Drosophila melanogaster: one gene and its partner. The protein of the gene in region 1 purifies or fractionates together with the protein of each later gene. This does not show direct contact. Each region holds a gene or a part of one and is shown in the gene's direction. Other genes may lie near its edges.

Region 1 (7,786 bases):
CAAATCGGATACTGGCGTTCGCCGCCTGCTGGAGGACGGCACATTGCCGCTAGACAGACTACTGGTGGAGACGGATGCTCCTTTCATGTACCCAAACACAAGGGCTTCCAAGCTACCGCAACACGTGAAGACTGGTATCACCGAACGCTCATTGTTGTACTTACACAGGTGGGCGAAGTAAAAAGTACCAAAATAGGTCACTCTTCTATTAGTTCAAAATACCTTCCAGATATTGTACCTTCCAACGCAACGAGCCGTGCAGTTTGCCCGCCATTGTAGAGATGATAGCCGCCTTCATGAAGAAAAGCCCGGACGAGGTGGCTTTGGCCACTGCCTTTAATGCCCTGAAACTGTTTGGCTTGTCCTAGAAAATGGTAAAGGAGCCACATGGAACTGAACGACAAAGTGTGCCACCCAGCAGCTTTAAACCCGTAACTCTATAGATTCAACGAGCCTGAGATTCACGATAGACTCATACCTATGTGCCTTAACCACTAATCGAATTCAGGATGAAGCGCTTATCCTGATCCCCACACATACACACATCCACAAATACGACCCCCATTGCATGCGAAAAGTACGTATACGTATATAACTATATATTCACCCCCTGCCGTAAAGGTGCAAACCATCGATCGAAGTTTGCAGGGTCTAGCTTTAAGTTGTTGGAATTTCCGAGCAATTGCTTTATTTACTCGAGTACCCAGAGAAACGGTGCCAAGGTGGTGCCTCGTGAACGTCGACTCCGGATTCGCCCGGGGTCTGCACTTCACGCCTCGAAGCGCGCGCTTCGAACTCGCTCCCGAAGCGATATATGTTAATGTTAAGTGCTGCAGCTTGTCTTTTGTTTGTTTCTTCTGTATTTAGGCTAGAATCAATACTTTTAGTTTGTGTCTCTGTTAGCCTGTAGTCGTACTTTTGTACATATTTATTCTTGTTGCGACGATGACGATGATGATGATGATTATGGGAAACGTAATGTGATCATTTTAAAAGCTAATTAGTTATTTGATATTCAACATACAAACACATTAGTTAGGCTATGAAACATATTGAATATCGTGCGCCTATACAAACTATATATGTATTGTTATATTTACATATACAAAAGCGTTGTACTGAACTGATCGACCCGCGGAGGTTGCATAAAATCCGCTTTGTGCCCATTGTCCGCACACAGACACACACTATTTTCCATTTGAATAAAGCGAATTTGAAACCCAAACGAACAAAAGCCCCTTTTAGACGTCATTACGTGTATTTTTGGTTGGTTAGCACACTTAAAAGCGCTGAATATTACTCAAGTCCTCAAATTGCTCCAGCTGGTGCAAATTGTCCCACCAGAGTTTCAATCGATGCTGCAGAATCAGAGAGAACCAGGGTGTCAGCGGGGCACTAAACTTCGCCACCGCCTCGTCGATCTTATCGCGGCGCAAGTAGCGCACCTCACTGACCTCGTTGCTATTTGGACGCAGCGTCACGTCTTTTTGCAGGAACAGGATGTAGTCTATCTCGTGCTCGCCCCACACGCCGTCGCCCGTGTCTGCGTAGTGGATGCGGGTCAGGTAGCGAAAGTCCTGTGGCTGCAGTTCCTCTGTGGGAATGCCCAGTTCGTAGTTGAGACGTCGTTGAGCGGCCACACGGATGCCCTGTGCGTTGCGCTCCTGACGTTCCTGTTCGATTTCGTAAAGCGGATGGCTGCAGCACGCGTTGGTGTAGGTGTTTGGGAAGGTTATCTAAGGATACAGAGGATTATGGACCTTGTAATAAGGGGATTACCCTTTAATTTCACCTTGTGAGACGATCGCTTCTGCACTAGCATCTCTCCCTGAGAATTGAAGAGAAAAACACTGAAGGCGCGATGGAGCTTAACATCATTCGTCTCTGGATGCACACGGTGGCAGTCTGCCTTAGAGGCGGCCCCAATGGCTTGGTCGTTGGCGTCAACCAGGATGCACTGTTCCTTTAGAGCGTGAGCCTGCAGAGGATCGTGTACGGCGAACTCCGTGGGCACCTGGCGCTGATGTTTCTGGCCCACCGCTGTCGTTGAGCAACCGCGCAGCCAGGATACGCGGGGCAACAGGAGATTCAAGCGAGAGGCCAACATTTTTGGTAAATGACTAGTTTGGAGTGGTGGCCAAAACAAATATGAAAGTGAAACTTCGTAATACAGCGCGCGGGTCTGCCAACTCGTTTGCTTTCTGCGCGAACTGTTTGCAACACTGACGAGGTAACAGCTGTTCCGGAACAGTAGTGGTAGCCCTGGTCCCAGTGATACACAATTTGCTCATAATCAGTTTTTCGCCCCCATTCTCGAAACAAAAAAAGTTGTAAATAAGCAGGAAACGGTTTAACCAATTTCCCGAAAAATGGTAAGCAACTAGCCAGCTATAAGCTTAGACCCCTATTTGACCTTCCATTCGCCCAGATACGATTCATACTTATACAAAACCGAGCTGGAAAAACTCGCCTGGCCAAGTGGTATATGAACTTCGATGACGACGAGAAGCAGAAACTGATTGAGGAGGTGCATGCCGTGGTCACAGTGCGCGATGCCAAGCACACCAACTTTGTGGAGGTGGGATCGAGTCCATATGTTCTTTTGAATCACCCTTTTATCACACTTTTGCCTTTGTAGTTCCGCAACTTCAAGATCGTCTACCGACGCTATGCGGGTCTGTACTTCTGCATCTGCGTGGACGTAAACGACAACAACCTGTGCTATCTGGAGGCCATTCACAACTTCGTGGAGGTGCTCAACGAATACTTCCATAATGTGTGCGAGCTGGATCTGGTCTTCAACTTCTACAAGGTGTACAGTGTGGTGGACGAGATGTTCCTGGCGGGCGAGATCCGGGAGACCTCGCAGACGAAGGTGCTCAAGCAGCTGCTCACGCTAAATTCGCTGGAGTAGCGGCCCAATTCATACATATGTATATCGGATCTGCCAGATGCATTCCCCCAGGCGCTACACCCGCCTATCGAATCTTCTTTCATATACTATTACGCGTATTATTATTATTATCTTTAATGTGTTCTCTATGCAAACACTCAAATGTTAAAGGCCGTGTTTAGAAACAAATGATGTACCATAAGAGATTGTATGCAAAAGTTAAGTATTTTTGTTTTTATATGGGGTGTGTTAGGGGTCATTTGGCGATAATCCATATATTTTCTTCTCTGGTTCCGCCCACTCACCTCCGTAGACAAGATAATGTGTAGCCCTGGTTGGAAGAGGGCCCCGCGCATTTTCCAACACTGCCGCTAATGCCACTTCGTCATTTTTTCAGTCGCCATTGTTCTCGTTCTCGGCCGTCGAATTTGTGGAAATAAACGTATTTCCCATTTAAATTCGCTGCAATAATTACAATAGCGAACTGCAAAACACAACACAAGCCGAGTGCGTGTCGATTTCCAGTATTTCGGAACGCGCAAATCAAATAAAAACACTCTGAACAGCAGCCAGTCCAGGGCCAGAAATCGAATATTTGTTCGTGGCAAATATATAATCTTGTGAAAAAGCCAGAAAATGTCATCTGTGAATCCGGAATAGTAAGTCGTCACACGTAATTATGCGCAGTTATCTGGAGTTAAAACAGTGACTGGGCTTCCACTTCCTTTTCTGGCCTTCGAAAATAGTTTCTTTTATTTTTTCTGCGACGTCATTTCTGCTACGTTTCATTCCCATTCATTATCGAGCAGCCCCACTCCACTCCCTTTTGCCCTCGTTGGCAACTCCAAAAAAACAGACCATTTGCTAAAAACAAAATACACACTCGGACCTAACAACCGACCCAATCGAGAAACCATAACCAAAACTGTGTGTTTCAGCTGGATTTCAATGTAGTGCCCACGGGCGAGGCGATGAAAAGCGCGTTCGAAACTCTCATCGGAATCTGCATATGTATAAAGTCCACACATATATACAGCGAGATCCCAGTTGACGGGCCAAATCGCTAGTCGGGCGGATGAGTCACCTGCGTGGAGAGCCTTTCCCACCCCCAGCGCAGTGCTACGTAATCAAAGGCCATTCCAGTGCTACTTAATTGCCGCTCTCACTCAAGGCAATTAAATCTGAACCGATCTTGGTTCGCACTCTCCAGAAAGCCTCCTTCAATAGCCAGCATACATGTGTGCAGAGGATTGGAACACTATCGCATATCATTCAGCAATTGGGGGTTGATGTTGGACATAGCATGATAAGATAAAGCCTAAACCAAACCGGTTTTATGTATATATTAGTATCTGCCCGACTAAACTATGCCCGCAAAACACCTCTCTAAATGTTTTGCTTGAATCAATGATTTCTAACTGATTGTCATCCAACTTATTTCCCTTTAAATGTATACTAAACCTTTTACACTCTGATTTTAAACATTTCGTCTTGTAATATCACTATCGCAAATATGCATCATCAGTTTTATTTAGATTTCTCTGAAGTTTTATATGTTTCAGCATAGGGTCTGAACTATTCCCACATCGCAGCACAAATTTATATCATTAACTATTAAATTAACTATAATTTATTAACTATATAACTATTTTATAACATTAACTATATTAACTATCTCCAAATCCACAGCGATTATCTCTTTAAGTTGCTGCTTATTGGAGACTCGGGCGTTGGAAAGTCCTGTCTTCTGTTGCGATTTGCCGATGACACATATACAGAAAGTTATATCAGCACAATCGGAGTGGATTTCGTAAGCCAACCGGAAATTTGTGAAAATTCTTTATGTCTGACTCATAAACCTTTATCTTGCAGAAAATCAGGACTATAGAACTCGACGGAAAGACCATTAAACTGCAAATCGTAAGCATAAAAACGCCAGAGGCAATCTAGTCCAGAGCTAATTAGTCTGTTTACAGTGGGATACTGCTGGCCAGGAGCGCTTCCGCACCATCACGTCTTCATATTATAGGGGCGCCCATGGCATCATTGTCGTATACGATTGCACGGACCAGGAGTCTTTCAACAATGTGAAGCAGTGGCTGGAGGAGATCGAGCGGTATGCCTGTGAGAATGTCAACAAGTTGCTGGTTGGCAACAAGAGCGACTTGACCACCAAGAAAGTAGTCGACCACACCACAGCTGCGGTGCGTATATTGCTGGTTTAGTCCTGGGAATCATAGATGCACGTATATACTAATCTGGGTCTTTGTTTCCAAAATTCCAGGAGTACGCCGCCCAGTTAGGCATTCCATTCCTTGAAACTTCGGCCAAGAGCGCCACCAACGTTGAGCAGGCCTTCATGACGATGGCGGCGGAGATCAAGAATCGCGTCGGGCCGCCGTCCAGCGCCACTGACAACGCTAGCAAAGTGAAAATCGATCAAGGACGTCCAGTGGAAAACACCAAATCCGGTTGCTGCTGAATAACTCTGATTGTGAATCATTATTTTATTATACAATTAAACAAAATTTAAATATAATAAATTAAAACGGAAACCACACAATAATAATAAAACAAGCGAAACCGATGGCGGATCCACGAAATCGTAATTATAATAACTAATTCTGTAATAACAATAATGGTGAGGAATGACGAGTAGTGCGTTTGTATGATCCTAACCGTGATCCAATTCGATAAACAATTTAAGCAAATATGTATTAGGTACGTAGCCAACCAGCTCCAGATCCAGATCCCGATCCAGACTTCAGACATCCCCAACTAAACTCGAGCAACAAGGACATCGATCCTAATACTAACCGTCACTCTGATTTCCGCAGTTCTGTTCATAAGTAGTGCAAAGCAAGCAAATTCGGTGTAGCAATTAACCTAATATTACTTTAACCTACAATAAGAAGTTACCTATCACAGCAGCGCGAAACCATACCGAAACTAATATGTACTATTAACTACACATTAATTGAGCGCAGGCGACGGCAGGAGCAATTGTACTTGTCCTGTGTCAGCTACTACTTACCACTATGTATACATATGTATGTGTTTAAATTACAAATACAATTTTCTAAACATATTATCTCTAGCGAACGTGATCGTCACTTGAAATTTTATGTAAATCGAACCCAAAACCGAACGAACATTTTTAGATTTAACGTCGAGCGATTGTGTGTTTGAATTATCGTGTGACACAAGGGATTTGTTTAGGCACATAATTAGTGTAATAATGACGACATAGCGATGAAGTTTAATAAAAATTATTGCGTGTGCGTATTTAAATTGCAAGGTTTGGGATCAAGGACACACTTTAGTTTCGGTTTTTACTGTCGCCCGAATTTGAATCTTAATTTGACCTGAGTCTAATAAAATCGATCTGTACCGATGCCTACAAACGACTTGTTTTATTTCTTGACTTTGGAAAGATTGCAAAACTTAAGTGAAGGCCGGAACTGATCCGCACGCACCCAAATACTTGGCAGAAACTTTAAGGGCGAGGCGATTTGTGTAGAATCTTCCTGTTTTTGGAGCAAGTTTTTGGCTGATTTAAAACTTGGATCATGCCAATGTATTTAGAATATATTCAAAGCACTCTATACGAGTGCTTAGATGTTGAAGAATCAGATGTATAAATATATTTCTATTTAAAAATGTTTTATATCTGCATTATTTCACAAATCAGATTAGTTAGTGCACTGCCGTTAAGTTAACTGCACATAGGTAATCAATTTTTGTAAACCTGATACGTTGGCAAATCTTCTAGGATACTTACGAAAAATGTATGTATCCACTTATTTTATAAATTATATACATATATTCGGAAAGATATTTTTCTTTTTAGGACATACTCTACCTTTATGTATTGCATTGTATACATACAGGACTTATTATTTTTTAAAAAGAATAATATGAAAAGGAATTTTAAATTAAATATTTCGTATCCGAGATATTCCTTCTAACATAAAATATCTCCATCTGACAACGATTGTAGCTTCCATTTGATTTGGGCAAGCTTACATTCCCTCCGACAGATTTGTAAAATTATTGAAGTACTTTGACTCTTTAGAGATTAAAATTAATCGTACATACAAAGATAATAATAGTTGCGTTATTTTTGCATATCCCAATTGGTCTCCTCCTATCTCCCATTAAATCACAATAGGTGCGATAAAAATGATCGTATGAAAAGTTCATACTCGTTTCTGTTCTAAAAATCAAGTTAAAGCTATTTCGAATCTTGCAAACTTCAATTTTTCGAAGCCCGAAGAAAATTAGTTTCGATTTTCAAAAACATCTTCTCTTGCGTTTATTGACTTCTTCTGAGGTACTTCAGTCTTTACAACAAAATTTTTCTAAAACTATGACTATTTGCTGTTGGAATTCAACTAAATACTTTAACGGTTGCTGGCAGTGGACAGGGACTCGAAGGATGCATATTTAGGATGGGATTCAGATCTTGCTGGCGCGTCGCTCCTGCAGACAGGCGGTTGTAACGGTGGCAGCCGTTGTGCCGATGATAGCGGCTCCCAGTATGCCGCGCTCCCGTTCGCTCAGACCGGAAATGGACAGACTGTTGCTGCGCCACGCCGATGATGATGTGGTGCGATCCGTACCCGAGGAGGTGGATATGGAGTTGATCAAGAAGGTGGCCTCGCGGCGGAGTGTGCGACGTGGATGTCGGGCGCTGGTCGTTCCCGCCAGCGCAGCTCCTTCCTCGGCATCCTGTTCCTGTCGCGTGGACGCATTGCGCCCACTTCCGCCTGCCGTTGGATGCTGCCTCTGATGGTAGTGGTGGCGATGGTGGTGATGTGGCCGTTGGCCCAGACAAGTGAGCAGCAGCCGCCAGAAGCCGCTGCGAAATTTGGAGGACATCAGGTTGTAGAG
Region 2 (7,221 bases), 2.0 Mb from region 1:
TTCACAGGGAACTCCACAGGTGGAAACTAAAACTCACTTGAACGACAGAAAGTGAGACTGCCTGTCCTTAATCTCCAGCAGCTGCGGATAGGTAAGGGTCTTCAGGTCCTTGCTGTGCTTCTCCTTCGCCTGGCTGGTGCCCGGGATACGGCTAAGCGGAGCAGGAATCACATTATCGCCCATTTTGGCTCACTTATTTTGCTCATAAGCTTAGTATGACCGTGCTGTGGTTGCGATAAAATACTTAGTGCTGCTACGAAGCAAAGGGCTACAGGAGTTCACTTAACGCCTATCGTTATCGACAAAAAGGCGCGTTATTCAAAAATATACATTAGTGCTTCTGATTTCTGTGCGGAATACATTCCTATATTTCTAATCCACCCCAAGCTAGCTTTCTGAAATCCCTCATATATTTCCATAAGATATAATTAAGTACCCATATATTATTATTCCATGCCTAACGACGCGATAATCTATTCTGGTCCCTACGAATTGGGACGCCTTCGCCGGCGTCGTGATATGCGTGTGGCGGAGTACCTCTACAGGCGTTCCATTCGCACACGCAATGCGGATCCCGAGATGACCGTGTGCCGTTTTATCAAACTGCTGCTCTACTTCATCGGATTCTTTTTCGTTTTGGGCGTATTCACAACCGGATTGGCCCTCGTGATGATTGCGAATCATATATATCCGGATAGGCCGGGATGCAAAAAGTTCCCCGGACTAGCAACCGCACCCGGACACCATGTCGGTGATCAGAAGCAAATTATGTGGAGCCCTAATAACATTAAGGATGTGGCTAACATACAACGCGCGATAATGCGAACGGTGAAACGATACGGTCTCGAAGGCCCGAAGCGCCTGATGGGCTGTAACATAGACGACAGTTGGGGCTATATGTCCGGCACGCCGTGCATTCTAATAAAGATCACCCAGGCATTGGGCTTCCAGGCGGTAACCTACGATGACGCCCTAACGCTGCCCGAGTACGCTCCGGATGAGCTATTCGACTATGTGGTGGGCCTGGGCTCGGAGGAGCGCTTCAACCGCATCTGGGTGTCCTGCCAGGTTATTGAGCCAAGAGTGGACATTCAGTTCGACTACCATCCGGTTCGCTTCTTCGATGCCGAAGAGCTCTTCACCTCCGGCAATGTCTTTCTCAACGAGTCTTCGGACGACGACGGACCTACTTACAAGGAGGATCCCCGCCTCAGGCGCATCATCAGTGTTCGGTTGAGCAACATTCCGATCAACGAGGACATCCAAATCCACTGCAAGGCGTGGGCTAAGAACATACCGCTCCATATGGTAACGGTCAAGATGCTGGTGCGTCTGACGGCACCAGTTCATCCAACCACTCCATTGGTGCTGGACGAGTGGTACGAGTGAGATCAGCTAACTCAGCTGGATTTATTAATGTATTAATAAATACTTAACAAAATAATAAAACTATTTGAGAATTATAGTTTACTCCGCTTTAGATTTCATAGTGAACCGAAGCTACAAGCTTCGAATATTTCCCACTTACGCCCACGTAACCAGTAGCCAAATCAGAACCGGAACGATCGCCACGATGCCGGAGGACGTAATGGTGCCCGCTGGGGACTACAAGCTGGTCAAGCAGATACGCCGGAACCAGGAGACACGTCGCAAGAAGGACCTGCCGTGGTCGAAGAGGATATTCGACATAGACGAGCACAAATTGTTCGGACGCACAGCTCTGGGTTGGATGCGTATCACTGGCTTCTACCTGGTACTATACGCCCTAATCGTGTGCATTGTGGCCTTTTGGTTGGGCATCTTTATGCTGGCCATCATTGATCCGAATAAGCCGCGCTGGCTCAAGGGTCCGCCGGGTCTGTCGATGGTGCCCAACCAGAATCGATCCGTGCTGGCCTACTTTACGCACATCATGAGTGAGGTCAATCCGATTGCGGACCGCATCGACGATTTCCTGAACAAATTGAACGACAATGCCATTGACTTCTTCGCCGATTTCAACCAGGACACTACGTGGGGCTACGCCACCGAAAAGCCGACCGTCTTCATCAAGCTGAACAAGGTTATTGGCTATGTGCCGGAGACCTACGACACGCCAGATGACTTGCCCAAGGAGGCGCCAGCGAGCCTTCAGGACACCGTGGGCAAGCTGGGCAACACGCCCAAGATTTGGATCACCTGCGAGGTGACCAATGGGCCCAAGCCCGAAATGGTCTTCTATCCGGGTCCATATTTCGAGGCCTCCGAGAACATGAGAGGAGTGACGCGCGTGGTGGCCATCCAGATGAACAAGATGCCCGAGAATGCGAAGACCTTCTTCAGCTGCAAGGTGTGGGCCCGAAACATACCCATCGACGATGACTACCAGGGCATGGGAATTATCAAGTTCGCGCTGAGCATGCGCACCGATGATGACGGCAATCCGGATTTCGAAAGGCCCTCCACTCGTAAGGCACCCCGCGAAATAGATCTCGAATCCGAAGAGCTCGTTCCCGAACCGCCATCTCCAAATCGACCAGAAAGTATGCTCGGAGGATTAGAATTGCCGCCACCGCCAGAGGATGAGAAGGACGCACTAGACGCAATGGGAAATGATGCCAAGAAGGAGGAAATGACGGAGCCACCAAGCTTATAAGAATTGGAATCTATTACTACTATTATTACCATTTGGAATTCTAGACAAAATTTGCTTATGTGCAAATTACCTATCTGTGTAGGTGTTCTTTAGGTTATTTAATTTCGAATAAGAATTGGGGGTAACCCACATTTTCACATTTCAAAAACCTATTAAATCTTGTTTCTGTTCTTGTTTTTCATATAATCAAATGATAAATGATAACTGATGATCTTTGATCTTATAGATTTATATATAATTTTATTATAACTATATTATATTCATTAACTTTTTATAATAATTTTAACAGCATGAGTCACCCTAACAAGCTGCGCACACCTAGATAACCCGCTTGTGCTATCGATAGTCGGCGACGGGCAGCGCCCACCACCAAGTGTGACCAAGGGGCATCGCCGAAATCGATAGCATCCGCCTATCGGAATCGAAGTGTTTTGCACGAACATCGAACTTTAGCTCCGCTCCGGACACGCAGTAGCTAAATAACAAACTCATTACTAGTATATTACTGCCGCCGATTTGCAAACGCGTACCGATCCCGATACCAGGCCAATCGCACTCCCCAGTTGTACGTCATCACTTAAGTAATAAATCAGCGGCAAATCGCATAAATTGCTATTGATATTCCGCCCGCTGTGTGTGCGTGTGTATTTGCAAGAGAGTGTGTGTGTGCATATGACTCGTGCGTTTAGCCGACAATTGGAGAAAAAGCATTAGAATCCCAATTGGCTAACTAAACTAAAGTTGGCTTGGCCAAACATAAACAAAAAGTGCGGGCGCAGCGATTTGGCAGCGAAACAAAAACACCAAAGTGTTATTGGCAGATATATATGTAAATTAAATATAGAAAGTGCGTGCGAAGGTTAAGCGTAGAGTGCAAGTGCATTTATATTTGGAAATAATAAATGCTACAATTTAGTTGAAATCCGCCAGCGAATTCGCATTAAATCTAATTCTGTATTTTGTACTCTCTCGCAGCGAATCAAGCAGGAAAATACCGGATAATAATTGGCAAAGATGCAGATCAAAGAATTGTGAGTACAAAACTGTATGTTTTTACCATTTACCTGTGATTATTTGATGTTTAAATCGCAAAAAAAAATCTGGGCAAGCCGCAAATTATTTGTGACAAATCGATTTTACACTCTCTTCGTGACATTCGCTCTCTCCATTTCTCTCTGGTCGCGTGTGTTGCTGCTCTCTCAGTTCTCTCAGTAGTTGCTTTTGTTGTATTTAAGTTTGCGGGCATTTTCCGCAACAACAACAGAACCGTTTTCTTATCAGCCCCCTGACGCCCCCTTTTCCGCACACCCCCTCTCTTTCCATCTCGCTCTATCTCAGGTATTTTGCAGCTGTGGCGATGACGTAATGAGTTTAAGTCACATTTTGGAGCTACGTAAGCCAAAACTTACTTCTTATAACCAATGCCACTGCTAATTAGTTTTGGAAACTCCTTTGAATCATCGATAATCTATACTATATACGTAAAGATAATGCTTTTTAGGCGCTCGGCGACGCCACGTTGTCGACTTTTTCAGTGAGTCACTCTCTTTTGCGCCTCTCTTTTCCCATTACTCTCTTTTCGGCTTTGGGCCCTGCGATTTTAATCAAACAAGTTGTTAAGTGCGATAAGGTCGTTGCGTTAACCCCACTAAACTGACTCATCGTGCATCTTTAATCCTTTTCGGTCGCAAAGCACCAGGTGACATTCTTCTCATACATTCTTCTCATTTGCAAATGGCTCACGTTTGCCACCCTCACATTCCCATTTTGGCAATGATACTTTTAATTTATTAACGGAAATTGTCAAAAGTCTGACATCAAATGGCTCGGCTTATAATTGCTTTGACTTTGACAGCTGTCGGAAAATCAAGGAAAATCCGAGCGGCTTGCATACAGGAGATTGAAACTGAAAGCTCAAACACACAATCTCGGTCTTATCATTTTTCGTATGCGCAATCATTCGCATCAATCTTATAATGGAAACTCAATTGTATATAAACAGCACCTTTTACTGATAGGTGTTAAGTGTATCGGTTTTGTAAGCTATTAATTCTCATACGATCGGTTTCTGGCTTAAAGTACACAGAAATCGATTTCTACTTTTGTGTTGCTAAGCTTGTATTGTATAGCTTATTTTTAATTACATATCATTTAAGAATATTATTGCAACAAAAACATAGGTATATCATTAATCATAAAGAAGAAATGATATGGAAAAATTTTAAAATGGAAAATTTTTAAAAGCTAGCGAAAAATCCGTGGCATTTGGTAGTTCATTACAGCGTTCGTTCACAGAAATGTACACAATTCCTATTTAGATTACCCATAAAATGTATTTATATCATTAATATTTATCATATGGTGTACGATATGTATTCAAGTGTGCAACGACCAAAAAGTAAACTAAAGCTCATGAAGTATAGGTGAAAATATACTTCTGCCGGTCTTTAAATAATATACATTTCTGGGAACGTTTTGTATTGCTCGAAATTTTTAACAGAGAATATGGAAGATTTAAGGCAACTGCATTTTACTGCACAATAAAATTTTTTTTATTTTATTTATTTAAATACGCATAAGTTGACGGGCAGTCTTCACGAGAGGCATTAATGTTTAATTGTTCTCGACGCCGTAATCCCAACACGAATCCGAAGCCCGTAGCATTTGCATTTCAAAATGTTTTTCCTGCCAGATTTTCGCATTTTTTTTCGTCTGCCGCCTGTTGGCGTGTAAACCATTTGGCAATGAACATTTCAGCATCGTCATTAAATGAAAAACAAAGGTGCAAATAAAGGCAACGCGTGCCGCATCACAGGTTGCTGCAGGCTGATAAACAATTTTGAATGGCCGGCGGGCAAAGTGGCCAAATGAATAAAAAGCAGCTGAAAAGGTAACAACAACGAATTGTGATAGTCTGCACTTGGCATGATTTATCTGAAATTGTGTTTTATTGTTCACAAAATGTTTAAAGTGCTGCACTTTATTTGTTGACATAGTAAATATAGCTAGTGAATTTAGAATACAGAATTTATTGTGGAATCAAGCCAATAATGTTAACTATATTTACGTGATTATATCAGCAATTGGCTGGAAAGTTTAAATAAATAAACAATGGTTCAAATAGATTATATATTCTTAGAATTTAATGAAATCGATCTTATTGCTGTACGGCCAACCATCAAGCAAATTCATTTACCCTCGTCCATAGGCCACGTTTTTGCGACAATAAAGTTGGTGTGAGTGCAGGTTTCTTTTTTCAACTTTCAACCGTCTCAACTTTGATCTCTGAAAGCAAAAGCTTGTTGTTTTCAATGTCGGTCCTTTATGGTGCTCGTCATAAACCAGCTGTAGCGTGACTTTTACTGCCCCAAACTGATTGGCCTCTTTGTACACCACACATGTATCCGTCAGATACAGTTCTCCCTTCGCCCTCCCCGCTCGCCCAGCCAGCAATCAATTTGAAAATGGCACGAGCTCCAATTTAGTTCCGCCATTTGTGCGCTTTTTTATGTACTGCGATAAGATAACACGCAGTGTTTGGCTTTCGACTTCAATGCGTCGTTTTACTTCACATCGGCACTGTACTCATTACACGTTTCGAGTGTTTCGGGCTTCGGTTGTTTCGAAAATGTTTGGCAATTGAGCGTGCCGGCTACTAAGCGCCAGCATAATTGGGCTCCAAATATGGAGATACATAGTATGCTATTATCCGAATGGGGGCAAACCGCGAAATGCGGCCTTGATTTAAAAAACAACTTCTCTTCAATGGTGCATGGCCATATTATAATTTCACTTGATTTCCATATGAGCTTTGTCAGTTATCAGTTACGCTTAAGAATAGTATATAAATGGTTTGGCTATTTAGATAGCTAATTACTTATGGCTTGTAAATGGCTTAAATTATAAACACATCAGAATATCTACTTATGTTAATGCAAACACCTACTGCTTAACAGGGATAATATCGTTTTGTTATATGTATTGTTAGTTAGACGAAGGTTTAGCACAAATGCTTTAATTTCAAGCTCGAATGACTCGTTGCTGCCTTATTCACTGAACAATCGACTGAGCAATCTCTGTGTGACATCTTTATTGCGGGTAAATCAATTATTACTTGGCTTCGGCCTTCAATTGCGACAATGGCCAGTGGGCGTCGCTCAATAATGGCCACCACAAGAGCCTTGGCCACTAGCTTTCCCCTCGACCCACCCACACAACTCACACACCACACACCACACACACACACACACACCACCTCTTTGGGATGCGAAGACCACAGAGCCCCAAACAATCACTTTCCATTTTCAATTATGCCAACAAGAGCAAACAATTTCCCTTGTTCATGGCCACAAAAGAGGGTTGAGTGCCAAGGGGTCTCCCGAGTGTTTCTTTCGGCAACTTTGGTCTCATTAAGAGTTCTTCAATATTCTCAGACGCTTGTTTTTGCTTTACTTTTGTACTTTTGTACTTTTTGGCCCCCCTCTACCACCATTCATGTGTGGGGATTTGTTGTATGTTTCTATTTTTGATTTGCATAATTTCTTCAATGCTCTGATTGTGCTGTGATTCATAGGAAACCCAAAAAC

The links.
Region 2: the proteins of Rab1 (region 1) and vib purify together in Drosophila melanogaster (affinity purification with western blotting, with the first as the bait; one study listed by BioGRID). This does not show direct contact.

What each region holds. Positions count from the first base shown.
Region 1 is NT_033777.3:21,264,537-21,272,322, reverse strand, and holds Rab1 (Rab1), read left to right. Parts: upstream 1-3,262; 5' UTR 3,263-3,529; coding exon 3,530-3,552; intron 3,553-4,528; exon of another isoform or gene 4,529-4,582; coding exon 4,583-4,703; exon of another isoform or gene 4,704-4,765; coding exon 4,766-4,813; exon of another isoform or gene 4,814-4,869; coding exon 4,870-5,097; exon of another isoform or gene 5,098-5,177; coding exon 5,178-5,375; 3' UTR 5,376-6,294; downstream 6,295-7,786. Other genes in the region: CG3308 (uncharacterized protein), read left to right, coding at 1-168, 230-368; Idi (Isopentenyl-diphosphate delta isomerase), read right to left, coding at 1,281-1,736, 1,793-2,107; AP-2sigma (adaptor protein complex 2, sigma subunit), read left to right, coding at 2,370-2,372, 2,429-2,578, 2,639-2,914.
Region 2 is NT_033777.3:19,222,460-19,229,680, reverse strand, and holds the start of vib (vibrator), read left to right. Parts: upstream 1-3,029; 5' UTR 3,030-3,200; intron 3,201-3,610; 5' UTR 3,611-3,649; coding exon 3,650-3,666; intron 3,667-7,221. Other genes in the region: Polr2M (RNA polymerase II subunit M), read right to left, coding at 38-183; CG5250 (uncharacterized protein), read left to right, coding at 454-1,389; CG11703 (uncharacterized protein), read left to right, coding at 1,574-2,635.